Linked DNA regions of Notamacropus eugenii. The protein of the gene in region 3 purifies or fractionates together with the protein of the main gene of each other region. This does not show direct contact. Links are inferred from orthologs where the notes say so. Each region holds a gene or a part of one and is shown on either strand. Other genes may lie near its edges.

Evidence for each region.
Region 1: the proteins of DNMBP (region 3) and DNM2 purify together in Homo sapiens (co-immunoprecipitation; 3 studies listed by BioGRID and IntAct, with this or other methods). This does not show direct contact. The link is inferred for Notamacropus eugenii from reciprocal best matches to the Homo sapiens genes DNMBP and DNM2.
Region 2: the proteins of DNMBP (region 3) and BIN3 purify together in Homo sapiens (co-immunoprecipitation; 5 studies listed by BioGRID and IntAct, counting the BioPlex papers as one, with this or other methods). This does not show direct contact. The link is inferred for Notamacropus eugenii from reciprocal best matches to the Homo sapiens genes DNMBP and BIN3.

Annotation. Positions count from the first base shown.
Region 1 is NC_092875.1:79,228,452-79,238,827, reverse strand, and holds the start of DNM2 (dynamin-2), read left to right. Parts: upstream 1-5,317; 5' UTR 5,318-5,477; coding exon 5,478-5,638; intron 5,639-5,920; exon of another isoform or gene 5,921-6,167; intron 6,168-10,376. Other genes in the region: QTRT1 (queuine tRNA-ribosyltransferase catalytic subunit 1), read right to left, coding at 379-457, 1,381-1,519, 2,009-2,077, 3,369-3,668. UniProt on the Homo sapiens protein: Catalyzes the hydrolysis of GTP and utilizes this energy to mediate vesicle scission at plasma membrane during endocytosis and filament remodeling at many actin structures during organization of the actin cytoskeleton.
Region 2 is NC_092872.1:611,922,364-611,933,195, reverse strand, and holds the start of BIN3 (bridging integrator 3), read right to left. Parts: upstream 4,201-10,832; 5' UTR 4,009-4,200; coding exon 4,001-4,008; exon of another isoform or gene 3,306-4,000; intron 1-3,305. UniProt on the Homo sapiens protein: Involved in cytokinesis and septation where it has a role in the localization of F-actin.
Region 3 is NC_092872.1:216,898,469-216,908,945, reverse strand, and holds the start of DNMBP (dynamin-binding protein), read left to right. Parts: upstream 1-5,506; 5' UTR 5,507-5,621; intron 5,622-5,985; exon of another isoform or gene 5,986-6,047; intron 6,048-6,102; exon of another isoform or gene 6,103-6,385; intron 6,386-8,411; exon of another isoform or gene 8,412-10,477. UniProt on the Homo sapiens protein: Plays a critical role as a guanine nucleotide exchange factor (GEF) for CDC42 in several intracellular processes associated with the actin and microtubule cytoskeleton.

The DNA.
Region 1 (10,376 bases), on a different chromosome or scaffold from region 3:
CAGCTAGATGAGGTCTGAACAAGGGGGGCATCTCTCCAATTCCCTCAGCTGGCAAGCTCGGTGCCTTCCTTTATTCTCCCTCACCCCACCCATCCAATCTGTTGCTAAATCTTCTTTCAATTCTCACATAATATGTCCCCTTCTGTCATCTCAGATGCCACCTTGGTAAATGGTAACTGAGAAGGAGCAGTTAGTGGGGGAGAGGAGAATCAGGAGAGAACAGGGTCAGGAAAATCCTGAGAGAAGAGGGTGGTCTGTGGGATCAAAGGCTGTGATGAGGTCAAGGAGCTAGAAGGAGGAGGGGGGAGAGAGAGAACCACAGCTTAGATGATGAGAATTCACATTTCTATAGTCCATGAAGATTTGCAAACCGCTGACCTGTGCATGGCTTCCTCCACTCGAGAACCCGTCAGAGTGCTGCTGACCACATCATCCAGCTGCATCATAATATCTGAGCCTGGAAAGAAGGGGAAGGGAGAGGGAAAGTCAGAGAATCTCTACTGTTGGGAGGATGGTTGGGGATGGATGCAATCAGGACAACCCTCTTCTTAAAACACGGTAAGATCTAGAAAAAAAACAACCCAGAAATCAGCCAGAAAGGAGGAAAACAAATAAGCCAGCTTTCTGATGCCTTCTCAAGTCTCTGCTCTTCCCTGAAAGTGATTTTATCCTTCTCAACTTCTCATATACTGTGTCAATATTTTCCCACCCTACCTTATATCATATGTATCTACATATCATACCTCTCAGTAAGCTCCTGGAAGGCAGAAATTGTACTCTTTTTTTTTTTTTGACCTTATGTGCCTAGAGTTTAGCCCTGTGATTAATAAAAATTTTTGAGTGTCTTACAAATAAATACATTTACATGGGCAGGGGTGGAATAAGATTTGATACAGCTCCACTATGTGCCAGGCACATATCATCCCATCTGTTCCTCATAACAACCCTTCAAGGTAGGTGCTATTATATTACCTCCATTATACAACTGAGGCAAACCGAGGGTAAGTGACTTACCCAGGGTCACACAGCTAGTGTCTGAGCTGGGATTTGTACTCAATTCTTGCTGATTCCAGGCCCAGTACTCTATACACTGCCACCTAGCTTGAAGACTTACAAAGCTCTTCACTTTGGAAGGGCCCATTAAGTAAATAATGAAAGAACTGTATTCTCCACTTTACAGATCAGCTAACCAGAGAGGAGAAATGACAACCACAGTCACAGTCAGAGCTGAGATTTGAACTAGGGTATCTACTTTCAAATTCTTCCCCCTACAAACTACCTTCTGCTCCCCAGTCCCCCTACTCCCATCCCAAGTCAGCTTCCTGGGAAGAAAGGCCAGAAGCTCTAGTCTCTAGCTCCTCTTCACCATCCAGGGCTCACCCAGTGCATTCTGAATCTCCACAGACTTCTCTGGGCTCAGCAGGATCTCGGCTCCATCATATGGGGAACGGAATCGCACTCCTTCCTCGGTCACCTCAGACAGGGCCAGCAGGGACACCATTTGGAAGCCACCACTGTCCTGTGGATGACATTCCCTATTGACCTCAGGTCCTCAATAAGGATCTGCCACTGTCCCATTGAGAAAATAAGTTGACAGATCTAGAAACTGGGAGATGATCAAAGCCAAACCCCTCATTTTACTGGTTGGGGGGTGAAGGGACACAGGACACTGAGCAACAGAAAGTGTGTGCCCTGTTGAAGGCCATCTAATCCTCAATCCAGGGGTTCTTTCCACCTCACTGTTCTCAGCCCCTGGAACAATGACAGCAATTCCTATTTCTAGAGCGCTTTAAAGTTTACAAAATGCTTCTCCAAGACAACCCAGGGAAGCAGATAATTCAAAGATAATTTTTTCCTGTTTTTATATTATAAAGTGAAACTTTAAGAGGCTCAAACAGGGAGTCAGGAGCCCATTCAGGCTTCCTCTCTAAGTTTGGGGCCCTTTCCATTAAAACACACTGCTTTTCCCAGTGTCCCACCTCCCTACCACCAAGGGTTCCAGACCCACCGTGAGCAGGTTTTGGTTCCAGTTCATAAAGCCATGCAGCCCACCGGCCTTCTGTATGAGCTCTGGACCCTGGGAGAGAAGATTCAGTCACTACAAGTGAGAGACCAGGACAGAGGTTCCTATACTGTTACAGAAAAAGCACGGGAGTGGGGAATCTGCAACCTTGAGGCCATGTGTGGCCTTCTAGGTCCTTGGGTGTGGCCTTTGGACTGAGTCCAAGATTTATAGAACAAATGCTTTTATTAAGGGGATTTGTTCTGTGAGGTTTGGATTCAGTCAAAGGGCCTACAGGGGCACATGTGGCCTTGCAACTGAAGGTTCCCCACCCCTGGGTGAGCCTGATCTGGAGGTTGCCCACCTCAGCCATTCCCATCTTTGGGTCCAAAAGTAGGGAGCCCTTGATCCCTCACAGGCCTTAGAGATGAGAGGATTTAAAAGGAAGATTTAAAATTAGAGATTAAGACAATTTAAAAATAATACAGTCTAACCCCCATGTTTAACCACCAGGGAAACTAAGGCTCAATGCAGGGAAAGGTACCAAAGGCTTCAGATTAAAACCCAGGTGCCCTGACTTTTTTGACTCCACTAATAAGAATTTGTTGTTGTTCAGTGGTATCTGTCTCTTTCCAATACTATTTGGAGCTTTCATGGCAGAGATACTGGAGTGGTTTGCCATTTCCTTTTCTAACTCATTTTACAGATGAGGAAACTGAGACAAAAAGGGCTAAATGATCCTTCAGGGTTACACAGCTAGTAAGTGTCTGAGGCTGGATTTAAACTTATTTCTTTCTGACTCCAGGCCAGATACTATCCACTGCCCCACACAGCTACTGCCTAGTATTCAGCTGGGGGTTAAGTAGAAAGAATGCCTGCCCCGGAATCAAGGAAACTCGTCTTCTTGAGTTCAAATTCTGCTTCTGACACTAGCTGCGTGACCCTGGGCAAGTCACTTAACCATGTTTGCCTCAGTTTCCTCATCTGTAAAAGGAACTAGAGAAAAAAACAGCAAACTATTGCAGCATCTCTGCCAAGAAGATCCCAGAGGAGGTGGGGAAGAGTCGACACGACTGAACATTGCTAAAACATTCATTACATAGCGCCTTAAGATCTGCAAAGTGCTTCCCCATGATACTGTCATCCACATTTTACCCTTCGGTAAAGAGGAACCCGTGGCATGCAAAAGTGAGGGGACTTGCCCACATCTGCACCCGATCTTGAATGCGGGCCTTCCCCACTCGAGGGCCAGCGGTCAGCATCTCCCCCAGCTCGCTGCCGCCTCCGGGGGGGTCCCGGCGCAGCGGCCCAGCGCCCTTCCCCACTGCGGGCCAGAGGTCAGCGCCTCCACCAGCAGCGCACTCACCGGCCTCATGCCCAGGTGGTACGTGTTGCCCAGACAGATGCGGCAGCCCAGGCTATCCAGCTGCGCTGCAGTGACTCCCTTCATGGTCCCTTGCGTCCCCACCGGCATAAAGACCGGGGTGGCCACGGTGCCGTGCGGCAGGTGCAGCTCGCACGCCCGCGCCTTGCTGCGGCCGCACGCGGCCACCACCCGCAGGGCCAGGGCTGCCGGGGCCCGGGTCCCTGGGCCCGCAGCAGAAGCAGCTACTGCGGCAGTCGATTCTGGACACCTCGTGGACGGAGGCTCCCCGGAAGCCGCCATATTACTACCTGGTCACGTGGCAAGCGGAGCAGGCGGAAGGCGTCTCGGAGCCATGGCAACGGGCTTCCCGGCGGTCAGAGAAGGGCCCGCTTTTTTTTTTTTTTTTTGAGGCACCAGAACTGGAGTCGGCAAATTAATACACTTAAAATGCCTGGAACATCGTTGTCTGAATTCTGAAAATGACGTGGCCCTGATTTATTCTCCGACTCCGCCCTTCCTGAGAATCCCATCCTGGGTCAAATGGGGAAGTCGGCTAGGACAGCCTGTTTTACATAGCTCGGTGACGTCACGGAGGCGCGCTGTGCTGGGAGTTGTAGTTTTCCGCAGTGACAAGCTGCCTGCCGCCTTAGAAAAGGAGGCTGGAACGTGAGGAACATGGTCGTTAGAAGCCATAAATCCGGAGATTCTTAGGTAAAAGGCATCCATAGATAGGATTCTAGAATGTAGCATTAAGCACGCACAGCCTGATTGTCCTGGGAATCGATGGGTTCCTTTTCACTGCTGCTGTTAGCCAAAGACTGGATAGCCATTCAGTTGATAAATATTACATATGCAGGCAAACCGCAGGGGATACAATTACGAAAAAGACCTGCCCTCAAGGAGCTTATAATCTAAGGGAGGGTGGACAATGAAAAGGGGAGGAGTTGTGAAGAAATCCAAAAGACAGCTGCTTGGTTGGAAATTAAGAGATATCTGGCCTGGGAACCCTCTATGGAGGTTTTGGGAGGAGCTCTCCACCCACCTTCCATTCAGAGGGGTCCCAGAGGCAGAGGGGTGAGGACCAACGCTTAACTGATCTTGCAAGACGATAAGGTTGCTGGGGCCACGACGTCCAAAGCAGTGCAGCAGGGTGAAAAATGACCACCTCCCAAAAACCAGGGATCCTTGGGGTATGGAGTTGAACCGTATAGCTTTATCTTCATCCGTTCTAATCGGAAGATTTCTTTTGTCATAATTACTAATTAAGCAGCATTGGGAGGAAATCTTGATTCCCTCCAGCAGGGGACGCTGATTTTCTCAGAGAGCTCTTCTAAATCTAGAAGTGATCGTTGTTTCGAGGAGTCTGAGCGTTAACAAATAAGAGCTAACGCTAAATTGATCGACAGATGCATTTCTCAATCACAGACAAAATTTAGCCAGAAAGCACCGCCCCGTTTCTTGCTCTAGTTAACAGATAGTATGACAGCTTTTCTGGCCAATGGAATAACTGAAGGAATCGGGCTACTGTGACGTATTACCCAATCACATTTGATTTGGTGGGTGGAGTCCGCTAACATCACTGGTTTGCTAATCCGACAGACAGGTAGTCTCACCAATGAGAATGCGAAGATGTCTTAAAATAGGCGGGACTAGCATGCAATTTCCGGAAACGCCGCCCCCGGCGTTGACAACCAGGTTCCACGGCCTATTGGGTCTCGGGAAGAGTGACAGTTCCTTTATCCAATGAATTCTCGAGAAAGGAAAAGGGGCTTAGGACATTTTCGTCCATAACCATCATCCGTAAGCCCGTACCTCTATTCCATTGGCTTTTGATCGAGAGTGACAGGAGTCGGGGCCAGTAGGCAGTGGTTTGAAGGGTTTGGGGCGAAGCCTCGGCTGGGAGGGCCAGCCCCGGTTGCGTAAGGGGCGGGAGGTCGCTTGGGTCGGGTGTCGCCTGAGAACCGGATGAGGCGGCGACTGTGAGTCGAAGTTTGGAGTCGGGAGTTGGGCTGAGTCCCGGGGGAGCAACCGCCGGCGCGCGGGGCAGGGTCGTTGGGAGGCTGGGGAGGTCTCGCGGGCCGCGAGGGGGGAGTCGCCGCCGCCGCCACCATGGGGAACCGGGGGATGGAGGAGCTGATCCCGCTGGTCAACAAGCTGCAGGACGCGTTCAGCTCCATCGGGCAGAGCTGCCACCTGGACCTGCCGCAGATCGCCGTGGTGGGCGGCCAGAGCGCCGGCAAGAGCTCGGTGCTCGAGAACTTCGTCGGCCGGTGAGTCTTGGGCAGGCTGCGCCGGCGGCGGAAGATGGGCGCTCCCCCTCCCCGCGGGCCCTGCTCGCTCCGCCCGGGCGCAAGCGGCTTGAGGAATGGGCCCTGGACGCGCCTGGCTGCGCCGCTTGCGTAAGCCTCGGGCAGAGCCGCGGGTGGAGGAGCGCCGCTGGCGGGTGCGCGTGGACGGCGTAGAGGGGGTCCGGGGATGGGCCCCGGCCTAGGCCCCCTCCCCCGGGGGGGTCATCCGGGGGTCACTCGGACCTCACGCGGTCTCCGACCTCTGACCCGGGGGGAGATCCACAGCGGCGAGCGTCGCCCTTCTCCCCCTGGGGAGGACTCCGTGTGCCCGCCCGGCAGGTGCCCGGCGGACGTCTGACAGCCCTCCTGGCCCCGAGCCGTTTAATGCCGGTCTGGAGCGGGGAAGGAGCGGGTCTCCGTAGTCGTACAGCTGGAGGACCTCTAGGTCATCAATCCTTTCATTTTACAGAGGAGGAAACCGAGGCCCAGGGCGGTGACGTGACGTGCCAAGGTCACTGTTGGCTTCCCTGGCATTATCAGGGTGTGTTTGTGCTGGGAGGGGGGTCTCCCAACCAATTGAAGTGCCTGGCGGGGAGGGGCGGGGGAACACCAGCCTGGTGCCTTTGTTGCCATTATCGCGTTAGGTTTGGCCGATGCTCTAGGGTTTATTATTCTTTGCAGACTGCCAGGCTTGATTAGAGTTAACTGCAGCCCCGGTTATCTCGGCTCTGGGCATTTGAGCTGTCGAGGGAAGGACAGCGCTGGGAGACTGGATCCAGGGATTCATAAGGGGACGTTGTGCCTTGTAGACCTGACAACTCCAGGTTCAGAACCATCTCAACCCCCTTTATCCATCAGAGATGACTGGTTGGTTCTCCCCTACTTTGCAGGATAGCTTTAGGAGATGATAAGCTTAGTGGGTCGAGACCAAGTTTCAAAGTGGACTTTCAATGTAGTTCAGTGGTAGCTAGTGGAGCAGCTACTCCCCTCCCCCCCCAATCCTTCCTTTCGCTTGTCAAAGAGAAGTTCGAAGTAAAGTGTCTTCTTTACTTCGAAAAGGGCTCTTGAGTCATGTTTAACTTCCTTATTCTGGGAGGGCAACCTGACTGTGGTCATGTGTGTCCTCTCCTTCATCCCTATTTAGCGGCATAGGCTCTTAGTGTGGCCAACACCTTCCTGGAGACCCACTCTTTGCATGTCTAGGTTTACAGAGAAACGTGTGCCAGCAGTCTAGAAACCCAAGTTAGATAGTTGATATTGTACCTTTAGATCTTTGCAGAACACTTTCAAACAGTCCCTGCTGAAAGTAACTAATTTACTCAAAGTGTTAGGGTTTTCTGTTTGTTTTTGTGATTATAAGCCTTTTCTGGCCTACAGTTTGACATTTGGTAAAATTTTGGGAGTCCTTTGTATTAGTAATAACAGTAGTTGCTTTATCTGTCATTTCATTTGATCCTCAAAGCAGCCTGTGGGATATGTACTGTTGTTCAGTAGTGTCCCACTTTTGGTGACCATATCACACCAGTGCTGTCCATGGAGTTTTCTTGGCAAAGATGCTGGAATGGTTTGTCATTTCCTTCTCCAGTGGTTTGAGGCAGAGGTTACAGTAATTTGCCCAGGGTCACACAAGACTGGATTTGAGCTCTGGTCTTTCTGCCTTCAGGCCCAGAACTTTATCCACCGAACTACCTAGCTGCCTTTGAAGTATATACTACAAACACTATATTAATTTATTTTAAAGAAGAGGAAATAGGCCCAAAAGTGGCTAGGCCATAAACAAAGTAGGATCTGAACCCAACTATCTCCAGTCTCAAATCCTGGAAACTTTTCATTATATTGTGCTGTTCCTTGACCATTAAAAGCATTCATGTAGCTGTCCTGCCTTTCTTCCCTGGAAAGCTCAACAATAAAACTGACTCAGGTTTGAAAACAGTTGAAATTTTAAAAATTCACAAGTACCCTACACTGCAGACAAATAATATTGAGAACTTTTAAAGAATTAACCAAGCCCTTCCGTCTTAGAAAAAAAACTGTACAGTCAAGCACAGTTGCAGGCAGGTGGTAGTTTTTCTTCCAGAATTTGTTTTAGTCCTGCCATAGTGACATTGTCACATTTAACTGGTGGTGTGTTTTTGAGGCGGTGACTGGAGGGTGACTGTGAATGGACTGACTTGGGTGATTTTCAAATTCCTTCACTAGATGGGAGGGGCAGGGCAGTATGTAGTTCTGATAAAAGAGGTTCTTTTCCTCTCCTTCCCAACCCAGTCTCTGTTAACTTCCTATCACTCAGTCCCATCTCCCTTGAGGGCTCCTTGCCTTAGTTGGGGTGAATGCATTAATTACACCAGGGTTCTCACTTTATTTCTTTATTATTAAAATAAAATGGCTAAGCTCTCAGGTTTGGTCATCTTCATATCCCCAGTCCTTTAAACACTACCTCATCAGTATCATTTATTTCCAAAGTCATCACCCAGATACAAGCTTTCATTCAGTTGTTGTTCTGTCTGGTCTGACTCTTGTTGACCCCATTTGGGGTTTTCTTGGCAAATGTGCTGAAGCGCTTTGCCATTTCCTTCCCCACTTTATTTTAGATGAGGAAACTGAGGCAAACAGGATTAAGTGACTTGCCCAGAGTTGTCTTCAAGATGAGTCTTCCTGACTTCAGGCCCAACACTTTATATCTGCTGTGTCACCTAACTACTCATATTTCTTCCAATACTACCTGCCTAGTTCTGACTTTTATTATAGCCTCCAATAGGTCTTCACCGCTATCCAGTCTTTGTTTTCCAATCAATTATTTACATGCTATGTCAAACTTCTCTTCATTATACATATGTCATAACCTCTGCCCAATAACCTCCATTGGTCTACTGGGCGGGGTTCACATTCCTTAGTGAGACATTCAAGGTCTTCAGTATATTTTGTTGATCTTTTCAACTTTAACCCTAAGTACTACTTACTCTCCTTGTCATCTATCATAGGAGCTAACTGGAAGGAACCTTGGAGATCATCTAGTCTAGTTCCCATGTATAGATCAGGAGACTGAAGCTCCTGAATGCCAAATCAAGGTCAGGGATTGGGAGATTTAAAGTCAGGTCCCCAGATGCCAGTGCCCTTTCCCCAGTACAGCCAAACCAGACTCAGTCTTATCCAACTCATATGCCTTTCCCTACATGCAGAATTCCCTTCCTGCCTTCCCCCACTTGGAATTCTCACCCATCCAGGTCAGATGTCATTCCAGGAATCCTTTCCTGATGCCCCCCACACCTCTTGAGTCTCAGTAATGATTTTGTTTGTACCTTTCTAATGCACTCAGCATGTATTATTTGTTTATCCCCAGATTGGGATGAAAGCTTATCTGTTCAAATCCTTGTGTTTTGTCTGTGAGACACTGAATATGGAGGCCTAGGTTTCCTCTTAACTCTGCTACTAAAGAGCTAGGTTACTTTAAGTAATTCACTAAACTTGTCGGTTCTCTCGTTGCAGTATCTGACATCTTCTCTAGATCTAACACAGCTCTCTGTATGTGTCAGTTCCCTCACATACACATACACACCCTACTTGAAGGCAAAGGCCAGTTCTCAAAATCAGTAACCAGCACAGTACAGGGATACTAACCATTTGATCAATTGAAATTGAATTGATTTTGCGACCATAAACTCTACCAAGCACAATTATTTTTTATTATAATTATTATTAAATAAAGTAATTTTTCTTTTAATGAAAAGCTTCTGCTCAATTGACCTCTTCCAGACTGACCACTCCTCACTTCTTTCTTCCTAGTTATTTGTGTATGTGTGGGGGCTGGGGTTCCACATAATCTTGCAGAATGGCAACTTATCAAGCATTTAGTAAGCACCTACTTCTTGGTAGGCCCTGTAGATTCAAAGAAACAAAATACAACCCCTGGACTGATAGCTACAGATGTCCAGTGATTTGGGGGTGGCTTTAGTAGCTGAGGGGGTCAGAAAGTGCTTCCAACTGTTGAAATTTCCTGTTGAAATTTGGTGCTTAGACTGAATTTTGAAGGAAAAGAGGGATTCACAGAGACAGAGAGGAGGAGTGATTGCATTATCAGGAAACAAAATACAAGGAATTACAAGAAAATCCACCTTGACCGTAGCTTTTTTGAATAAATAAATAATAAAAAGGACACTGGGGCCAAATTGTGAGCACTTTAAATGTCAAACAAGAGTTTCTATTAGATCCAGTTTGAATAGGGGAGTGGCATGGTCAGACCTAATACTTTAAGAAAATCCCACTGGCTGCTCTGTGTTCCTCATGTGTACCTGTAACCTTAGGGTTCTCACGATGTATACTGCTGCCTCGATCACCTTTGCTTTGTCCCTTTAACCCTTTTATAAAAATTTAGCTGGAAATGGAGCTGACTCTTTGCTTAAAAATTGAAGTTTATCTTGTTTCTGCTAGTCTGGTATAAGAAAATGTACCTAAAGATTTTTTTCCAGTAATGAAATGCTTGTAAGAAAAAATAAGATTAATTTAGGATCAAAGGTTTAGAGCTAATTTGAGTGCCTAGGGTTATTCAGTAAAAGAAGTGCCTCTACCTTCATGTCAGCACACCCTCCCCAACTTTATGAAGATTTGACTCTTGTTCTGAGTGTCAGATTTTTCATATCAAGGTAATATTTTCTGAATGGTTGGTCAGAAGGGACTTTTTAAGGTGCCTGAAGTCTGCTGGCTGCTTTGCTGCTACTTTACT
Region 2 (10,832 bases), about 400 Mb from region 3:
GGAAAAGGCAGAATGTGACAACTACCACAAGAGATGGGCAAAATGCCATAGAAGGAATTCAGAGAAGGGTGAGATCACATTTAGGGAGGGGAGAATAAAGGAAAAGCTTCATGATATAGGTACCATTTGAATCTTTATCACAAGATGAGGGAACAAGTAGTTCCATGTGGTAAATGCAGGGTGTTAGATCTCACAATGGCATCTGTACAGCCTCTTCCTTTTGAATTCAAGCTGGGGGGCAAGGGGTTCATTGCCTATACTTTGAACTTTTCCCAATCCTATGGCGCCATATTGAAAGAGCTAAAAATAGCTAGCGATTACACAGCACTAATGTTTGCTAAGTGTATTACATATACTATTTTGTTTGATCTTCACAACAACCCAGTGAGAAAGGTTCTATTATTATTTCCATTTTACAGATGAGAAGACTGAGGCTGAGAGGTTAAGTGCCTTGCTCAGGGTCACCCAGCTAATTATCCGAATCAGGATTTGAACTAAGGTCTTCAAAATTTCGAGGCCAGCACTCCATCCATTGTGCTAACTAGTTGCCTAAGGTGACTGGGCCTTGGTGACTCTTAGGCATGAATGTTTGGTATTTAGATTTCTCCCTTTTTTTGAATCAATCTGTCATTTTAAAGAGATGGATGTGAAAAAGCCACTAGCGATTACTAGTATTAGGATTAATTTAATCAAATTATATTCGTCTAAGATACTAAAAGGATGCAGATATAGTCTTGTTTATTCTCACAAACTGCATATGTGGCAGAGTCAATCAATCATTAAATATTTATTAAGTGCTTACTATGTGCCAGGTACTGTGGTAAATGCTGGCAGAAAAGCAAAAAACTGTCTCTGCTCTTAAGAAGCTGAGAGTGAAGTCAGGATGACTTGGCCAAGGATCCACAATTAGCAACTAAAGGAGGGCTTGAGTTCATGCTTCCTATTTCCCTGGGTAGTTCTTCACTCACACTACACTAATACTTTCTTTTGAGTTAACTTTCCAGGGCATACATAAACCTTTGTACAGGACAAAATCTGACAGCTTCTCCTCCAAGGTTTCTTTCTCCCAATCTTATCTGTGATCTTTAAGGTTTCAGAGAAGGGTGTAATGGTAAACACAATAAAAAAACTTAATTCTACTCAATTTTAACTCACTCCTTAGGGAAGAGGGTATTTACTCTGCTCCAGAGACAAGAAAGTAGAGAGGTGGAGAATCTGATTTGGGGCCACATAGTAAATAAGGTAGTGGAGATGAGTTCCTAGTATCTTCTTCTTAGCCAGATGCTCAGATTCCTAGGTCATCCTGATTAGAAATGGATGGTCTTTGAAGGGGGGCACACACCAACTAAACAAACAGGGGGGCAGGCAGGCCGCCTGCTCAGAGGAAGTTGGGAACAAAGGCTATTAGATCTTCATGCAAAACCCAGTGTGCAAAGGGCACTAATGTTAGACATTTTTCACCATGACATTTTGAAAGCACAGCCTGGCCCAGAACAATGGCTTCCCTCAGGGAGCCACGATCAGAATGCCCTATGTCTCACTCACCAATAGTTGGCACATCCCCTGAGCTTGGTGAACTTGACCCTGGGCTAATGCCTCCCATGGTGGCTGTACGTCACTCTGCCCATTTTTCCCACCCCTGGAATTCCAGACTTTGGTGAATGAAGAGATTGATTCCAGGAGCAGGAAAACAGTTCCATGCATGAATCAGATAGACCAAACCCTGGCTCCCTGTGCCAGCTATTGAGCCAGGAACTGAATGTGATTGTATGCCTGGTCACTAGAGCTTTTCCCCTTTCAAGGGGAGAGGGTCAAGGTCCACGCAAGAGATGACGTGGGCTAAGTCTAAAAGGAAAAGAGACAAATCTCAGCTTCAGGAGACAAAGCTGCTCTCTTTATCACTCTTATAAGGCAAAGTACAAGAGGTGGCTGGAAAATATGGCAGTACAGGCCTATGACAGCATTCTTTTCAGTTCCTACGGTAGCACTTACTCATGGACTATCCTCTTCTCCTAAAAGACCTCAGAAACCTGGGGCTACAGCCTCACTATTACAGAATATTCTCAGTAAGAAAGATAAAAACAACTTCCTAGAGTACTTCCCCAGAGAACCTCTCCCTCACTAATCATCTCCCAGGTTGAGAAGATGAGTTCTGTTTGATTTGTAAATTATACTCTGAGCACTAAAAGGCAACCGCCCTTTCTGGTTTTAACCTTGAGAAATCAGGAAATTCATGATGTGCTAAGCAGGGACGAATTTAGTCATAGGAGGGAGAGGACCAGGCTACACGCTTAAGAAACTGATTCCCCTGAGGAAGAATATCTCCTCTCTGACTGGCAGGCAGAAGAGACTCTGTGATTTGGTTCTAATAGGACTGGAACATTAACTTTTCTAGGTAAAGGCCTACAATTGGCCTCCAGCAGGAAAGGACATTAGAAAAAGGAGAATTCCTGGAGGGGCTTATTAGGTTATTGCTTGGGGCTCTACCTAATCTGCCAGGAACTGTCAGTTCAATATTTGCACATAAATCTTAACACAGCAAGGAGAAAGGGAATCAGAAGGGGTTTGGATTTCATACTACACATCTGTTCCTGATGTTTACTGGCATATCAGCTGCTTCTAGGCAGAGTTCAGTCACAAATGCCTAGGTAGAGAAATAAGCTACAAATAGCCCTTAAAAGAATGTCCATTCAAAGCTCTCTATGGCTAATGGACCTATCTAAAAAGCTTTACGGACAATTCTCCCAGTCTTATACTGTAGGTACAAAAGGCAAGGTTCGGCAAAGCTCACAACTAGACAGGGAAGTTCCTGAAAGTCTCAATAAAATATAAGAGGGTAAGGAGGAGTAAAGTGTTTTCTCTTCCAAGAACAAAAATTAGTCCGGTATACAAAGAACAACCTGCTTTGCCCAAATGGAGTCCAAAAGTCCATCAATCATCAAACATTTAATAAGTGTGTACTACGTATAAAAGATTATCAAGTGAAGCAGCAAATAAGGGTTAGAGATACTGCATAATAGGAACCTTGACGGTTATTATTCAGACCTCTGACACTTATGCGTGTGTATACATACATATATCTGTATGCTACCATGTCTTTGAGATGAAGATTTAGATACCACTAGCATAAGAGTGCTATAAATTTAAGATCACTGCTGTCGAGCTCTAGGGATGTGAGGTTTTCTTTAAAGCCCTTTCCTAAATGATTAGTCTGTTTAGGAAGGGTGAATTTTGGAGGCATGGTTACGTGAAAAAGAGACTAGGACCTGGAGTCAAGAAATAACGTCCTCAGTCCTGACGCTTACCGGCAGTGTGTCTTTGGACAGGTTACTTCCCTGGGGCCTCAGTTTCCTCATTTGAAAAATGGGGATATCAGCACGGACCAGTGCACCTCCCCGGCCTGTCTCCGTACAGCAGGCAGGGTGGTGCAAGGGAGAGGGCACTGGCTCTGCCTAAGTAACTAATAAATACTCGGGTGACCTCGGGACAAGTCACTTCATCTCCCTTGGCCTCAGCTTCCTCCGTAAAATGACAGGGTTAGCTTGGGTGGCTTCGAGGTCCCTCCTGGCTCTAGAGCGATGACCTCATGACGGACTTGGGGCCCGAGAGGAGACTAGATCCAGGTCGGCCCCGCCCCCCAGGGCTCCCTTCAAGTGTCCCAGAAGGACGGCATGGGAAGGGCCTTCCGAGGTCATCTTATCCCTCTCCAAGGTCCGTGGCTCGTGGCCATCCAGCCCCCGGGGCCGGGGCGGTTCCGGGAATCAGATCCGTTCCCGGCACTTCTCGTGGAAAGTTGGCAGAAGCGCCGAAGGCCTTGCTCCGGGACAGGCTCAGCCCACCCGCGGCTGGCGGGCAGGACAAGCTCAGAGGGGCACCCTGGAAAGCGGGGCGGGGAATTAAGGGGGTGAGGGGGTCTCGGGGGCTCAGAGGCGGAGTCCGGCGTGCGGCACGAGAGGGAGCCTAAGGAACCCCAGGGCAGGATCCGCCGGGTTTCACTCACCAGCTCATGGCGACGGCTCCGGTGTCCGAGCCCCGCGTTGCGGCCCCGGCCCAGGCCTCAGCCCGCTTGACCACGGCCACTTCCGGATTCAGGCCGTCTCCAGGAAGTGACGAATGAGACACTCCCGGAAGAGAGGCGGTGCGCGCGGCGCGGTGAGGGGGAGGGGTCAGTACCTGGACACGTAAGGGGTGGAGCCTAGAGTGGTTACCTAGTAACCCTTTCGCGGCGGAATCTGCGGACTACCTCGCTCCGCGAACCCTCCCTGTCCTAGTGCAGACTCCCGGCTGTGCCGGTCCTGGGTGCTCACACCTCTTCCTTGCCTCAATTTCCTCCAGCTGCAGAAATGAATACGACAGTGCAGTAAAGCACAACACGCATTTATTGAGCGCCTGCTGTGTGCGGTGCATAAAAGAGAAGGGGGAGGAGGAAGAGGAAAGGCAGCCCTGGCTTCGGAGGCTGAGAATGAGCCTGAGTTGGAGAAGCGGGGAGGACAGCGAGTGGTCGCAGGCTGGACCTAGGGTCAGGAAGACCTAAAGTTCAAATTCTGCGTAGCTGCGTGACCTTGGACAAGTCACTAGACCCCTCATCTGTAAAATGAAGATTAATGTAGCTCCTACTTCACGAGGTCTTGGTGAGGATCGGTGACGTACCACGTGTAAAGCGCTTTGACAGAGCTTTAGGTAAAACTAGTCCCGATTATTGCCGTCCCGTCCTTCACGCCGGGGTTCAGGGGTCACTTTCCACGTGGTTCACTGCTGAAGTCCAGTGGGGTGCCCTTGAGAGCGGGGACTCGGAGGGCTGGGAGAGTGTTAGGTTGTTGCAGAAGTTGGAGCCAGAAAGCGGTGGATTACACCCAATTCTGCCCTGCTCCGTGGCTCTGTTTATGCATCCAGTAAACACTTATTAAATGCTTGCTCAGTCCCAGGCACTGAAAACACGTACAGGAAATAGCCCCTGTCTGAAAAAGCTTGCACCCCCTGGCGGGGGCCTGGAGGACGCAGAGAAGGAAATAGACGAATAGAAACAAAGTATCCCTGGATCTGGGGCGGGAGAGCCCTGGTGCCCCGCGGGTGGGCGGGCGGTGGGGAAGGAGATCGGGCTGAGCCTCAAGCGCTGCGCAGAACCCGAAAGCCTGAGCGCTCGTTTTGCCACGAGGGGATCGCTGGTAACTTTGAAGACAGCGCTTTCAGGTGGATGACGAGGTCTCCTGCAGGAAATGGTACTTCAGTCCAATCCACCAACAAGAACTTAGGAGAGCCCACTGTGTGCCAAGCAGTGTACTGGGGAGAAAGAGACAAACGTGATGTAGCCCTGACTCAAGGAGCTTCTGTTCTATCAGGGGAAACCTGTAGTCATATAAGTCTACGGAAAATATCCACAAAGTAAATTACGGGGTGCATGACAGCTGGGAGGAGCAGGAAAGGCCTTTTGTGGGAGGTAGCATAGGAGCTGTACTTTGTGACAACCAAAGGGTTTTAAGACGAGGGGATGAGGAGGGAGAGCATTCCAGGCATGCAGAAGAGCCTGTGCCTGAGCGGGAATGGAATGTTACATGTGAGCAACAGCCAGGAGGTTGAAATAGGGTGATGGGAGGTGGGCATAGAGTTGGAAGAGGGAGTTCAAATACAGCCTCGGACACTTGTGACCCTGGGCAAGTCACTTAGCAGCTGTGTACCTCAGTTTCTTCATCTGTAAAATGGGGGTGATAATAGCACTCACCTCTTGTGGTGGTTGTATCAAGTGAAATAATAATATAAAGTTATTTACTTTACAATGCATGGCACATATGAAGTGCTGTATAAATGATAATAGTAGTAATACTACTAATAGTTATTGCCTCCCAGGGTTGCTGTGAGGACCAAATGATATAATAATTGTAAAGAACTTAGCAATAAATAAATATTATTTATTAGGGGGGCCAAATTTCAGAGATGTTTATGGAGGTAGCAAGATTTAACAACTCAATGGACGTGTGGTTAGTGAGAGTGAGGAGCCAGGAATGATTCAGATAAGGAACCTGGGTGCCTAGAAAGATGGAGGCACCTTTTATAGAAATAGAGATGTTTGGGAAAAGGATGGGTCTTGGGGAAAATATAGTTCTGTTTTGGATAATTTGAGATACCTATGGGACATCTGTGGGAAATTTCTCATAGGCAGGGGATTCAGAACTGGAGTGCAAGAAGAGGGGCCAGAGCAAGATACCTAGATCTGAGAACCAACTGCATAGAGATGATAATTGAATCAATGAAAGTTAAGTCACCAAGAGAGAAAATGTAGATGGAGAAGAGAAGCCTGACTCAGCAAAAGAGACTGGAAAGGAGTAACCAGGCAGGTAGAAGAACCAAGAGAAAGCAGGGTCACAAAAACCCAAAAAAGGAGAGAGTATCCAGGAGGAAAGGTTGGTCGGAAGTGTTGAATGCTGTAGGGAAGTCAAGAAGGATAAGGATTAAGAAGATATTCCCACAGTCAGCAATTAAGGGAACACTGATAACTCTGAAGAGAACAGTTTCAGCTGAGGGGTGAACTTAGAAGCCAGGTGTGAGAGGCTGAAGAAGCAGATGCAATGAGTGTACATAGCTTTTCCTAGGAGTTTGTCTCTGAAAGGGAGGAGAGATATTTTAAGGCTTTAAGAAGGTTTGGATATTGCAAAGATGTTTGGAAGCAGGTGGGAAGGAACTGATGGGGAGACACTAAAGGTTAGGGAGAGTGGAGCCTCCAAGGATGGCATAGATTTTCAGAGGCAGGGGTGAGGAAGGAGTGCATTTCATCGGTGTGGGACAGCTCAGCAAGAGTTTGGAGAATGCCATCTCTTCCTCACTCCACCTATCCAGTTATTTGCCAAATCTTTTTATTTCTACTTCCAAGGCATGGCTTGCATCTGACCCCTTCTCTTCACTCATACAACTACTACTTTGGTTGAGCCCCTCATCACCTCTTGTCTAGGTCATTGCAATAGCCTCCTAATTGGTCTCCTTGCCTCAAGACTCTCATCACTTCAGGGCTTCCTACACACAGCTGCCAAAGTAATTTTCCTTAAGCACAGATCTGGCCATGTGACTCTCCTACTCAATCTACTCTACTGGCTTCGTACTATCTTTAGGATGAACATAAATTCCTCTGTTTAGCTTTTAAAGCCCTGCACAACCTGACCCCCATCCCATCTTTCTAGCATCATTGGACATCAGTTTGCCCCCTTTCCTTCCAGCTCTTTGATCCAACCAAAGAGGTCTTCTCCCTGTTTCTCTACATTTCTGACTCCCTACCTTTGCACTGGTCTTTCCTCAGACCTGGAATGCATTGCCTCAGCATCATAAAGACCTGCTCTTTCTCTAAGATGAAGCTTAGGCACCCCTTCCTGCATGAAACCTTACTGAGCCTCCATCTGCTAATGTCTTCCAAATGATCTTGTGTTTTAACTTTTGTGTACAAAAATACACATTTTTGTATTTATATTCATGCTATATACTATATATAGCAAGTATATTTAACTATATATACATATGTGTGTGTATATCTGTGTATACATATATGGGGGAGAGAGAGAGAGAGAGTTAAAATACTTGCTTCGTCCTTTGGAATGCAAGCCCCTTGAAGGTAGGGATTGTTTCATTCTTTGTACTTGTGTCCCTAGCAAAAGGCTAGGTATATAGCAGGACCCTAATAAGTACCTGTTCTTTGATATTTCCATCTTATTACATGATTGGCCCACCTCCTCTTCTGACCACATATTTCCTATATGTGTGTGTACTAAATTTATATTATATATGTATGTTACTATTACTTGCCCATAGACCATCCTTAGAAAATACTTTGAAAGCTGCTTGTTACCTCCATACATCTTTCCTATGTTCTATGGGACACCTGTACCTTAGATTTTGTGAAGATTGTGGTTTTCCAAGATTCAAAACTAAAAACATAATTGAGATGATATTTATGTTAACAAGATGTGCAGGGGATCTGCTTGATGTCATTGAAAGTATTACCCAGTTTCCCAAGCTTATTCCAGCCTGCTCTCTTCCCCCATTCCACCAGGGGTCCAACTCATTGTCCATTTTTAGCACTTGTCCCAGATGTAGGTGCTAATTCAATAGACTGTTCATCCTAATACATGCCATAGTCTAATGCAATTGGCATTTTTTCATCCATTTAGTTTTTCCTATATGGATTTAATCTCTTTTGTATAATTTTGGATCTCATGAGGAAACTTGATGGAGTCAGCATGACCTTTGTTCTGACTTGAGTAGATGGTCTTACTACACACAGACAGCTAGCTGATTGCTATGACTTCAACGGTAACCAGTGGTTACTGCTATTACCCAGCAGTATCCTATATTTGTTGGAAGGGTCAGCTCCATTGGGTGTACCTTGGCAAGGGCAAGAAGGGATGAACTTTATTTGTTGATTATACCTATATAAACTTGTACCTGCCATTATTATAATAACAGGTCACATTTACATGACAATTCAGAGTTATGAAAGTTTACACATCTGGACTTATCTGATATCTTCATGATATACAGAACTGGCAGAAAATCCAACTCTGTCATATAACAAATGATCCTTGCAATAACCTAGTAAAATAAGTAGTACAAATACATCTCCATTTAACAGATGAAGAAAATGGGGCCCAGGCAGAGGGGGACAGACCCAGAGTCACACAATGAGTTTGTGCTAGAGTTGAGGCTAGAACCCCCTTGAGGATGGATAAAACATCATGCTCAGCACCAGGGGGATGTAGATATGATTAGAGTCTGATCTTTGCCTTCAGTTTCCCTGGGCTGCATCATCTTTTATTTTCTACCTTGGAAAGATCCCTCCATTCATGAATCCCCAAAGCAAGAGATGGTGCTTAGGTACAAGTACAAGATGTATTGTTATCTATGGTGAAAGCTTCCTTGGGGGTTTAGACCAGGTAGGGAAAGGGACACTGTTCAGAATAGTCTGGGGAGTATCTGTCTGATTCCATTCCTGGGCATCAGACTGATGGGAACTGTGTTTGACAGGACCATCTTGAGGTGAATCCAGTCATCAATCAATCATGTTCTTGTGTACTTCTGTCTTTCATGAGTTCAATGAAGTAAAATCCTAGCATCTGTGAAAGAGAAAAAAAGGGAAGGGTCATCACAAAAAACCACATGTAATCTGGAACTGTGTCACACAGAGAGATCCTCTGGCTATACCTTAGTGAGGGAGGAAAAATGTGCTGGAAAAATGTTACTCAGGGAAAGGCACCTCAGGTCTTTTGGACCATCTAAGCTATTACTATCTACCACCCCAGACATTGCCCAGCTATTTGGTACCCATAGCATTCTTGTTTGTTTGTTTACTGCTTTTATTTAGTAGCCATGATGTTCTAGATCAATTTCTCCCATTTTACCACACCTGCAGATTTTCTTTATTTTTCTCATGTACAATCAGTATAAAATCCATTGCTTGCAAGAGACCCTAGAAATCATCTAGTCATAATGTCAGATTGTCATAGGTTTAGGGCTAGAAAGTACGTTGAAGAAAATTCCTCATTTTACAGATGAGGAAACTGAGACCCAAAGATTTGCCCAGTATTACATAGTTCCTCTGATTATACATCTGGAGATTTTCTCACTATACAACACTGCTTCACAATCAAAGCCTCATTCAAAATAGCATAAATACCAGTCCCCACCACAACAACAACCAAAAACCAAGGTAGCATCTTTTTTGAAGTAGAGATTGTCACAGAAAATCTGGGTCATGTGGTAGTTGTCCTAGGAGTCCCCCTAAAAACATATCCTGTAGGACCTTGGGGTAATAGGAGGAGCACAAAAGAAGTTGGTTGATGTCTTCAGGGTTAGGGGAAAGTTGGAGGGAGGGGCCAATGTAATTACAATCAGGGAGCCAGAGCATTGGATTGGGGGGCAACATCTGTTACCAGTAGACCCAATAACGATACCAATCTCTCTTCTCATTCCAAAGTTGGCAGCCAGCAGTAGGTAAGAAAACAGGGCTACTCAGAATCTTGGGGCTGATATTTGTTCCAGGTTAGCTCACCATAATGTGGCTATATAACTAATTATTCTTGGGGAAGAAAGAGATTGAAAGCTAGCATCAGCCAACCTGCCTCTTCAAGGCTCAGCAGGGATGGGACTCTGTGGTTCCTTTGTGGCTTTCCTTCCTTGTCTTTATGTTCCCTTGAACTATGTTTTCTGTGCTAGGCTGTTCATTGAGAGGCCTGACGTTAACATAGTGCCTAGCACATAGTAGGTGCTTAATTTTTACTGATTAACTGAGGTTTTCTTAGTCACAAAAAACAGCAGATGGATGTGTAACAGTGACTTTGTGTTTGTCACAAGATCACTAACTGCTCCCCTGCCCCCTCCACCCATCCTTGACAATACTTTCTAACAGCTCTTCCTTATAATTCCAGTGGATGTCTTAGAACTCAGATAGTCAGAAGTGAAGGAACCCTGATAACCAATGGGAGAAGCTGCTCCCTAAGACCTTTGGTATGAATCTTTGGAAATGTGAAAACATAAGAGAAGCTACCCCCTCAGGGACCAAATTCAAACGCATTTTCCGTAGGGTTGCAAAGATTGCAATGCCTGCATGCGTTCCATATAGCACCATCTGCACTTCTGATCCAATTCAGCTATCTTGCATTGACTGCAAGGGAAATTGGGGCAGAAAGAGAGGGGCCATATCAGGATGAGCCCTTCCTCATTGAGAAGAATAAGTTGCGGGCTCCCTGGACGTTATGACAGAAGCAATGACACCAGAATCTTAAGAGATTATGTTGGTAAAGCACTTGGCACAGGGCTTGGCACATAGTAGGTGCTTTAGAATATTCCCTCCCCAA
Region 3 (10,477 bases):
GCTTCTGAAAAACTTTTAAATGCATGAGACTACTTTCAAAATAAAGTTAAAAGAATATTAAGACAAGATGCTCTTCTAGTTCAGAAGAATCAGATAAAGAAATCAGTGTAAGGTCATTGAAAACTTAACTCTACCACACAGATGTGTTTTACTACAATTAATTAAGGATTAATTCAAGTCAACTAAATTTCTAACGTGCCTGCTATGTGCAAAGCCCTGTACTAAGTGCTGATCATATAAAGTTGAGAAACAACAAAGTTTCTGCCCACCAAGAGATACAATCTAACAGGAGATGAAATATAGATACAGATACAGTTGTTACAAGGTAGACTGTAAGATGGTCTCTAGATAAAATGCTCTAAAAATCTGAGAAGGGAGTCTTAAAGGAAAAGAAGTAGTTTAATAGCCAGAGAGGTGGAGGGAATATGTTCCCAGGATGTGGGGTATCCATGAGGATACACAGAGACAGAAGAAGTCAGGATAAAGTTATAGAGAACAGTGAATAGAAGAGTTTGAATGGAATGTAGAGTCCCAGAATGGAAATCCTGTGAAGTTAGGAGGGGAAAGTAGGTCAGAACCATACTGAGAAAGGTCGTAATTGCAAGGCTAAGGAGTTTGTATTTTACAGAGAGCCTGGGAAGTTTCTTCTATACAGGTGACTTGTGCAATGGAAAGGTGATTTTGGTTGCTGTAAGAAGGATAGAGTAGAGATAAGAGAGCCTGGAAGCAGGAGAACCGTTTGAGAAGCTATTGCATTGATCCAGCAATGAGGGACTGGTGTAGGCTGATAGCAATGCAAATAGAGGAGGGTAGATACATGTGAGAGTTACAGACAAAGCAGACTAGATAGGACTTGGAGACTAATTCGATATAGAGGATGAGGAGCAGAGAAGAGTCAAAAATGATTGAGGTTTGAGACTGGGGCACGAGAAACAGTGGTGCCATCAACAGAAATAGGGAAGTTGACATGAGGCTTAGATTTTGGAGTCAAGGTTTTAAAATTCAATTTTAGGTGTGTTGAGTTTGAGTGACTATTCAGGTAGAGCCAGCAGGTAGTTGGTTAGAAATGGGAAATTAGAGCTCAGGGAATAAATGTTTGGATATATGAATTTGGGAAGTAATGATTGGAACCACAAGAGTGGATGAGATTGTTAAGGAAAAGAGTGTAGAGAGAAAAAGAAGTCAAGAACACACCTTTGTGGGAAGCCAGGAAGCCACAAGCAGACAGAAGGAAAATGAATCAAAGAAGATAATGGAAAAAGCAGCTAGATGTTGTGGTAGATAGGGTTCTAGACTTAGAGTCAGAAAAACCTGGGTTCAAATCCTGCCTCAGACATTTATTAGCTATGTCTCCCTGGGCAAGTTACTTAACCTCTTTCAGACTCAGTTTCCTGATCAATAAAATGGAGATAATATTACCTACCTCTCAGGGCTGTTATAAGGATAAAATGAAATAACAAATGTAAAGGGCTTTGCAAACCTGAAAGTAGTTAGACAGCTAGAAAGAATATTAGGAGAGTATAACATCACAGAAGTCAATGTAAGATGACAAGGAATTTGGAGTGGATAAGTCAACATGGTTCTCAGAACCACAGAATCTCAGAGTTGGAAGGGAATTCAAAGAGGGGGAGATCCATCAGCCCACTTCCTTCATTTGGTCCTCATGTAACATTAGCTCACACTCCATCACCTTGGTCATGTTCCTCTGGACACCCTCCAGTTTATCAGTGTCTTCACTCAAATGTGACATCTAGAACTGAACACCATTGTTCAGATCTCATTTGACCAATACAGTATCATTATCACTTCCCTAATCCTGAATACTATGCCTCTCTTAATGGACACTAAGATGGCTTTAGTTTTTTTGGCTGTTACATCACTCTATTAATCATTAATTAATTCATAATGAGCAATTCATATTGTTTCCAACAAACTGCTATCTAGGCATGCCTCCCCCATTTTATATTTCTAAAGTTAATTTTTCAAAACCAAACGTAAATCTTCAATTTACCCTTCACACAGCTGTCAAAGCAATAATACTAACACAAAAATCCAACCATGTCATTATCCTGCACCAAATTGCTCTGGTGGCTATCTGTTGCCTCTGGGATCAAATATAAATTCTGATTTGGTATTTAAAGCATTTAACAATCTGGGTTCAACCTACATTTCTAGACTTATTCTATATTATTCCCTTTGAGCAGTCTATGTTCCAGGTAACCTGACTTACTTACTACTAGTCATTTGCCCAGGCTGTTCCCCATCCCTCCCTCCATGTCTAGAATCCACTTCTTCCACCTTAATGGAATGGAGTTTTGGAGCATGTTCACACCACCTAACATGGTATCACCCTTGTGGAAGGCACTAGGGGACTACTTCTGGGAGAATGGAACACTATAGCAAGACTGGACATTTTGTGTTGAACTACTACACGGCTGGGAGTAGCCTTTTCCCATTGGCATATAACCAGAACAGCCAGTCTTTTAAAAACAGCCTGACACAGTACCTGAAGGGTTTTTGGGGTATTCATGTCTGAGGGTGAAGGATTCTTTCACTCATATCATGTAGTAAGTTGTGAGGAGAAGTGGGGAAGGGATGCTTCCTTCCCCCACTCCCATCCACCCCCACTTTAGGCCATATGGTTACAAGAAATGAGCCTACGTATTTGGCATTTTTGTTCAATCTTTTTCATTCTAGTTTTAAGGAGCAGAATCTCGGATTTGACCCAGAAGCATAAGCCATGGGGATTCAGGAGTTTAAAAGTCCAGGCCAGGTGTTGCAGACAGCCTAGCAGAAGCAAGCCCTGAGGAGTAAGGGTCTAGCGATGCTAGCCAACCCAGCTGGGTTTTGGGCTTGAACATGGTAGTGGGAATAATACTATGTAGGAACTGAGTTAAACTGTGAGCCTAATCTCTCCTTCCACAGAGGCCAAAGCAGTATTGGGGGGCGAGAAGGGGAAGGGAATTATGTACTAAGTGCTGGGGGGAAATGCTCTAACTTTGAAGTAAACCCCTTTGTAAAAGCTAACCTGATGTTAAGATAGTTAAGTAGAACTGGGGGTGCTAGCCATTGTATCCCTAAAATGGGAGGAACAAAGCTGGTGAGGGCTTGAGCCAATAGCTGAGACTCCCCACTCTCCCTTGGGGTACTGGAGAACCCTGTGGTGGGAACAATGTAACAGGTCAACTGGTCCCGAGAGAGGGTGGACCCAGTCATAGATGTTGCATTAGAATTAAATCATTATTGTTGTTGAGGCTTTTCAGTTCTGTCCAACTTTTTGTGACCCAATTTGAGGTTTTCTTGTCAGAGATAGTGGAATACTTCGCCATTTCCTTCTCTAGTTCATTTTACAGATGAGTAAACTGAGGCAAAGAGGGTTAAGTGCCTTGTCCAGGGTCACATAGCTAGTAGGAGTCTAAGGCCAGATTTGAACGAAGGTTTTCCTGACTCCAGGCCTGGTGCTCTATCCACTTCACCAACCTAGTTACCCTCAGAATTCTTAGTTTCCTTCCAAACTCCCCAAAGTCCATCTAGGTCTTTTCTAATCTCAATGACTTTGTACAGTATTAAATTTGTATATTTTGCAATTATTTGCTGTTTGTCTTGTTCCCGCTTCACTTCCCCACATACAAATTACTTGAAGACAAGGACTATTTTCTTTGCTGTCTGCCTGCCACATAGTAGGTAATTAACAAATACTGGTTAATTAAGTTGCCCTTAGAGCTAATTTTTTGAGCCTTGGTCAATCCATGCTTAGCACTTGGGAGAAGTAGAGAAGGAAATGCAATGAGGTGACCTAGGACTGGTGATTAGCAGGGTGGGAACAGCAAAAAAAACAAAGAGCAGAAGGATTCTAAAGGCAAAGTTTGGGAAGTTTGATCTGGGTGATCAAAATAGATGAACAGAAAGGATGAAAGCAGGAAGGTCTCCAGTATTTTGGGTGGACACTCTGTGGCTAACTTTTGGGAGGACACAGAGAAGGGTCACCCAGTATCTGCAGGTATGGATGGGATGCCATCTGCCTCATTGGTGGGAATTCTGAAATAGATAGGATCATAAATATGTCTGAATATTTGAGAGTAAGTATACAAAGAGAAACAAAGTAGAAATTTAGCAAAGGGTTGGACTGGACATCTTAAAAATATCACCCAACTCTAAATTCTTTGGGGTTTTTTTCTTTTTAAAGAACAGTTATAGATTTTTTTGGATTTAATTATTTTGTTTTTCCTCAATTACTTGTAAAGAAAAATTTTTAACATTTTTTTCTTTGACATAGGAGCAGCTCTCTGATGTACTTCAATTCTCATTTTTAGACTTACAGGAAATTGCTGCTGGACACATCTACTACTAGCACTATTACTGCAAATAATTAGTATTATTTTTTTTAATTAATGTTTTTTTTTCATTTAACAGGCATTAGTTTTCTCTTCCTCCCACCTCAGCCCACCCAACAGGAAAAAAAAGGGAAAGTAAGAAAGGAAAAAAAGAAAAGAATGAAAGAAGAAAGAAGAAAAACAAGCCCTTGTTACAAATATACAAAGTCAAGCAAGTCCAATTCCTGTACTGACTGACCATGTCCAACAATACAGGTAGCATCACCTCCCCCTCTGTCAGGAGGTGGGTAGCGTGTTTGATCATTGGCCCCCTGGAATCGTGGTTTGGTTTGTCCAGACACTGATCAGAGCTCTCGCATCTTTCGAGGAGTGGCTTTTCTTTATCAAGCTGCTGTTACACACTAACTGTTCTCCTGGCCCTGCTTGGTCAGCTGAGACAGGTCTGCTCGGTTTTCTCGGACCCTGCCTCTGTCACTTCTGATGACATCCCCAGGCCATCATCTTCCTGCTACTCCTTACCTGACCTACATGCCCTATTTTGCCGCTCGCAGTAAATATCTTAGTGCACACGAGCACCTTTTCTCTGACCTCTTTGGGGTCTCTAGCTTGGGGAGGTGGGGGTGCGGTGTGCACAGGTCGGTGACTCGGGAGCATTGTTCCAAACTGCTCTCCGGCACCACTGACCAACTGTGCACTGGGCAGTGGCTGGCTTTTCTCTAGGGTTTTAAAGTTTCAAAGTACTTTACAGAGTGGCATTTGTGACTCACAGGCCGGCTGGGTGAGGAAGCAGCCTGTGCAGTGAAGAAGGTCAGCACTAATTAGGCGCCCACTGTATGTGGGGGGGGGGGGGGAGGAGCTGGAAATAGCCGGGGATGGGAAGGGCAGAGCGCGAGCGCCAGACGGGGCTGGGGCGGTGGAAAGGGAGGCGACCTGCCCCCCTACTCCCCCCGCCGGTTTCAAGGCGGGGGGGGGGAGCGCGGTGAGGGGCGGCGTCAGGGGCTCGTTCCGTGGGGGCCTGACGGGCCCGGGCTGCAAGCTCCGCCTCGTGGGGGGGCATGCCACGGACGTGCGGGGCCTGGCGGCTCGGGGAGCTCTCCTCCTCCCCCGCTGGGCCGCCCTCTCGGACGCGGCAGCCGGGGCTCGGAGGGAGGCTCCTGGGCTGACTCAGCCGGGCGAACGCGGTCCGGACTGACAGCCCCGCTCGGACGCGGGGCCCCGGCCTTCCCTGTCCCGGGGGGACCCGGCAGGCGCCTCGGACCCGGCTCACCGGGGGCGGGGCCGCCGGGGGTAAGTGCGAGCGGCTGCAGGGGGCGCCGAGGAGAGAGAGGGTCCGCCGGAACACAAGCGCGCGGGGACGCGAAGCGGGGCTGGGGACGGTGGAGAGGTCACGGAGCGGGGCGGGGAGAGGAGAGGGGCCGATGTGGCAGGGCGTGCACAGGGCAGGACTGGGACGGCCCGGGCTGGGGGGGGTGGGGGGGAGACGGGCGCGCGCGCGGCGGCGGGGGCCGCAGGGAGCGCGCGGGGCGTCAGACCGAGCGGGGAGGGGGAGCGCGCGGGGCGTCGGAGGGGGAGGGGAGCGGCGCGCGCTCGCGGGGTCCCGGGGCGGAGGGGCCGCGGAGGGGGCGGAAGGCCGGGCGGGAGGAGGGCCGGATTGACTCACTGCCGGCGCTGTTTCCGAGGGGCCGGAGTCGGCCGGGTCACGGCGGAGCGCAGGTCAGGGGCCGGGGCCGGGGCCGGGACCGGGGGCGGGGCCGCGCCCTGGGAATGAATTCCGCCGCTGGGTGGACGAGGAGGAGGGGGTGGGGCCGGCTGGGAGGATGTCTCGGAAAAAGCGGGCTGCCCTCGGAGGACCCGCGTGGACCCGCAGCCCTTGGCCCCTGCCCCTCCCACGCCTCGGGGCCCCCCCCGCGAGTCATTACGTAGCCATAATAGAGTAACCGACCTTCCTGGGGCGCCCCGCCGGGTTCATCTGAACCAACGACCCTGCGAAGTAGGCACCCTGAGGCACTGTGATCCCCATTTACAGATGAGGAAACTGAGGCCGAGAGAGGGTGAGTGTCTCGCCGTGCCCCGCCCCCGCCGGGCGATTCTCCCAGTTTCTTTAGAAGAAGCTGGAGGGGAAGGGCATGGGGGAGGGCCCCCTCGAACTTGGGGAGAGGTGGGGGATGAATGATGGAGGAAACAGGCTGGAGCCGCGGCCGATGGACGCTTCTGAGAGTGGCCACAGGCTCCGCTGCCCACGAGGCATCCACGGAGCCCCGAGAATTCACTGGAAGGGAAGTTTGGAGATGAAACACGCCGTTTGTTTTGGTAGGGGAGCCAGAGAAGAGAAGGGAGGCAGCGCGATCACTGACACCCTAGGAACCCGTTCTGATCTTTAGGAACTTTATATAGATATATACATATATATGTATATATGTATATGTATGTATATATATAATACACACATATGTTCCCGTTTTCCACCGGAGAAACTGAAGCTTGGAGAAAAGGAACGTCGTCCAAGACAATCGAAGTCAGAGACAGAGGCTGCCAAGGATAGAAACCAGGGTGACTGAGTCCAAAGCCAGGGCAGTGTCTGCCAGACCCGATCACTTGAATTTCCAAGGACAGTCTGTTTAATGGTGCTCTACATTACAGTGTCATTCATAGTTAACCCTGATTTTCATTAGCAAAAACAGTCTTAAGGGGAAGGAACTCTTTCTTTAAAGTGTACACTTTATAATATTGATCCCATTATATGCCATTCAAATTCTGGCTGAAAAATAGCTCCCTTAATAGAGCTGAGTAGTCACTTTAGATGTGAGTGGGTCATGAGGTAAAAATCACCTACCTTGTAAAAAAAAACCAGTTTTCTTCCTCTCCTACTTGTACATTACATCCTGTTTCCTGTATGTACCAGTAAAAAAAAAACCATGTTATTTTATACTTAGATATTATTTTACACTATAAAATCAGCATCCTGTATTTATGGTCAATTTTATTCATTAAAACAATTTGAACTCTAGTATTTCTTTTTAAGGGCTGAACTAAAATGATTCCAAGAATAGGAATACATTGGTAAAAATTGGTGATTACTTTGGGATTGTAATGTCTGCATTTGGAATTTAGGAGTTCTCTAATTTGCTCTCTGTATAGCTGAATTATAGAGGATGTTAATGAGGAGATTTGGCTGTATTCATGATATTATTTTACCTATAGAATGATGAGAAGAAGGGAATATAGATGTCATCTAGTCCAACCTCCTCATTTTATAGTTAAGAAAACAGGCCTGGAAAAGTCATAGTGTCTTCTGAGGCTAATGTGCGTAACCACATAGGAACCTTGTAAGATTTTTCCTAGTTAATTTAAGAAAATTTTTTCATAATGACCTGAACCAAGGAAGTAGGCAAATCATATCACCTCTCTGACCGTCACTCAGTTTCCCTATCTCTGAATTAAACTAAAGTATTTTAAGTCCCTTGCTGTTGTGATTACAAAAATATAATTGAACTTTTTACTACAACAGAGTAGATATGAAAATGCTTTGTTTTGCTTTGTGTATGATATATAAGTGTGGTGTCAAACTCATGTAGAAACAAATTGTGCATAAGGATCCTTGCAGCAGCATATTGATCTAGAAAAGTACATATTAACATCAAGGTTCTATTGTATTTTTATTCATTTTGTTAAATGTTTCCCATTTACATTTTAATCTGGTTGGGTCTCAGCAAGCAGTATTTGACAACTCTGATATACATAATAGTGTCTGACTGGAATGATATACAGTGTACTGCAACAAAAGATGTCTTCTATGATGTACTTGAAGAACTTTGACTCAGAGAAGTAATCAGACTGTCTAAAGAGCATTCGTTAATTTTTTGTAGTAGATGCAGATCTATTTGCTATATATAGTCTTGTAAACTCCATTATCCACTTGCCATATGTGTACCTGTTCTCATTTTCATTTCTTCTTTTTATAGAAGCAAAACCACAATCCAACTCTCACTCAGAGGAAACAGAACGACAGTTCCCTCATTTGCTTTCATATATCTCAAGCTTGAGGAGCAAGGTGTTGTCTCTAACCCTTGTAGGTGACTCAAGTGCTCTGCTATGTATGTTTTCTGTCATATTTCCTATCAGATCCAACTCTTGCCTTGATTTGGAAAGTTTTTGCAAGGAAATGATGAAGTTTCTGCTTCGATCTAGTAGACCCCACCCTTATCGTTAAGAATACAAAGAATTAGACTCCTTCCATCTTTAGTATCTGTACAATTCCACAGTAACAAATAGTTCTTTCATTTAGCAAATATTTATTAGGAGCCTAATGCAATATGGAAGACACTGTGGGAGACAGAAAGTTGAACAATAGAGAATTCCTGCCTTCAAGGAATTTACACACAAAGTAGATAAAAATATTTGTGCTAATATCTTACTGTAGTCTTTAAAATATATCACAAAGGCAGCACCATTAGTGTCCTCCAGAGATTTGGCATTATCTCACTGGTTCTGAAATTACTACTTTGATATTTCATTGATCTATGATTTCCTTCTCACTATAGATCACATCTCCAGCGTTTATTAAATTGCTTCATTAGTTGCTTTGAGGGAGAACATCATCTGGTAGCCAGCCTTCTGGTGATGAGCCTATCCAAATTTAGCTCTTTATGTCCAGACTAGCAATGATGTGAAACCAGGTCAGGCTAGGAGGGGGAATAAGAGGTGGGGATGACCAACCTGGTAACACCATAAAAGGAGGGTATCTCAGATGGAGACTACATGAGACAGTTGTCATTCCCTGATGCTCTGTGCTCAATCATTCATCAAGCATTTAAACACCTACTACATGCTTAATGTTTGAGGCCCCGGGGATATAAGTTAAAGAAGACATCTGGTCCCTGCTCTCTAGGAGTTCTAGCAGGCCCAGGTGAGGAAGTAGAGAGCATTTCAGGTATAGGGAAGGCCTTTTGTCCGGGGAGCAGTAGGCAGGCAGTAGGCCTCTTGGGCTGCAGCGTGGAATGTATGAAGGGGACTAGTGATGGGATCATCCTGGAGAGATAGGCTCGAGCCAGGTTGTAGAGGGTTTTCAGTGCCAAACAGAAGTTTGTATTGCTTCCAAAGTAGCATTTTCCTGATTTCTTCCATTCTGATCTCTTACAAGCTTTGGAACATTGTTCTGGCCTTCGTTTCACAATCCCTGACTAGTGTTTGGGATTAGATACCCAGGTGAACTGTTTGACTTGACCTAGGCACAGCATTCTTTTTATCCTTTTAAATCACGCCTTAGATTATACCCTTCCCACCAGCCTAGATGAGTTCTTTCCCTCTCTGCTCCTTAATTGCTCCTAATCATAGGTTCCCTTTTGGCACATTCACTCAGGTGGTGGAGAATCTAAGAATCTTGCCTCTTGTGCAGACATTCCACCCTCCAACCCCAGATAAAGGGCTTCATGATAGGACTTAGTGCTGTAGCTCCAGACTACTGTACTCTGGTAGTGCAGCCACTACCAGATCAAGTTCAAGTAGAACTACTTAACTAAACCCAGTAGTTTCACTAGTTGTTTTTGTGTTTTTAAAGATCTCTCTTGTTTTTATACCACTTGTATTTCCACATAGAGTCTTCTCACACCTTTCTCCAGTAAGCCATCTATAAGAACAAAGGATTAAATAAAGAAGGGGGTTGGAAGCAGTTCAGCCAAACCAACCAACGTATCAACTCAATATGACAGCATATGCAGTATCCCATACCCATGGGTCCCTGTCCCTGCACAGAGAGAGAGGTGCATTTTTTTCATCTTTTCTCTAGGGCCAAACTTCTTGATCATTAAAATTATAGTGTTCAGTTTTGGACTTCTTTCTAATAACAACAATAATTAGCATTTGTGTAGCGCCTACTATGTGCCATGCACGGTGCCAAAGATCTTATTTAATCCTCACAACATTAGGAGATAGGTGCTGTTATTGTTTTTGAGGAAACTGAAGCAAGCAGAGGTTAAGTGATTTGCTTAGGATCACAGAGCTTGTAAGTGTCCAGGACTGGATTGGAACTCAGGTTTTCCTGACTCCAGGCCCCAGCATTCTATCCATTGTGGCACCTAGCTGTCTCAGCTTTTTACATTGTATATGTTGGCTTCCTGGTTTTGCTTATTTGAGTCTGGATCAGT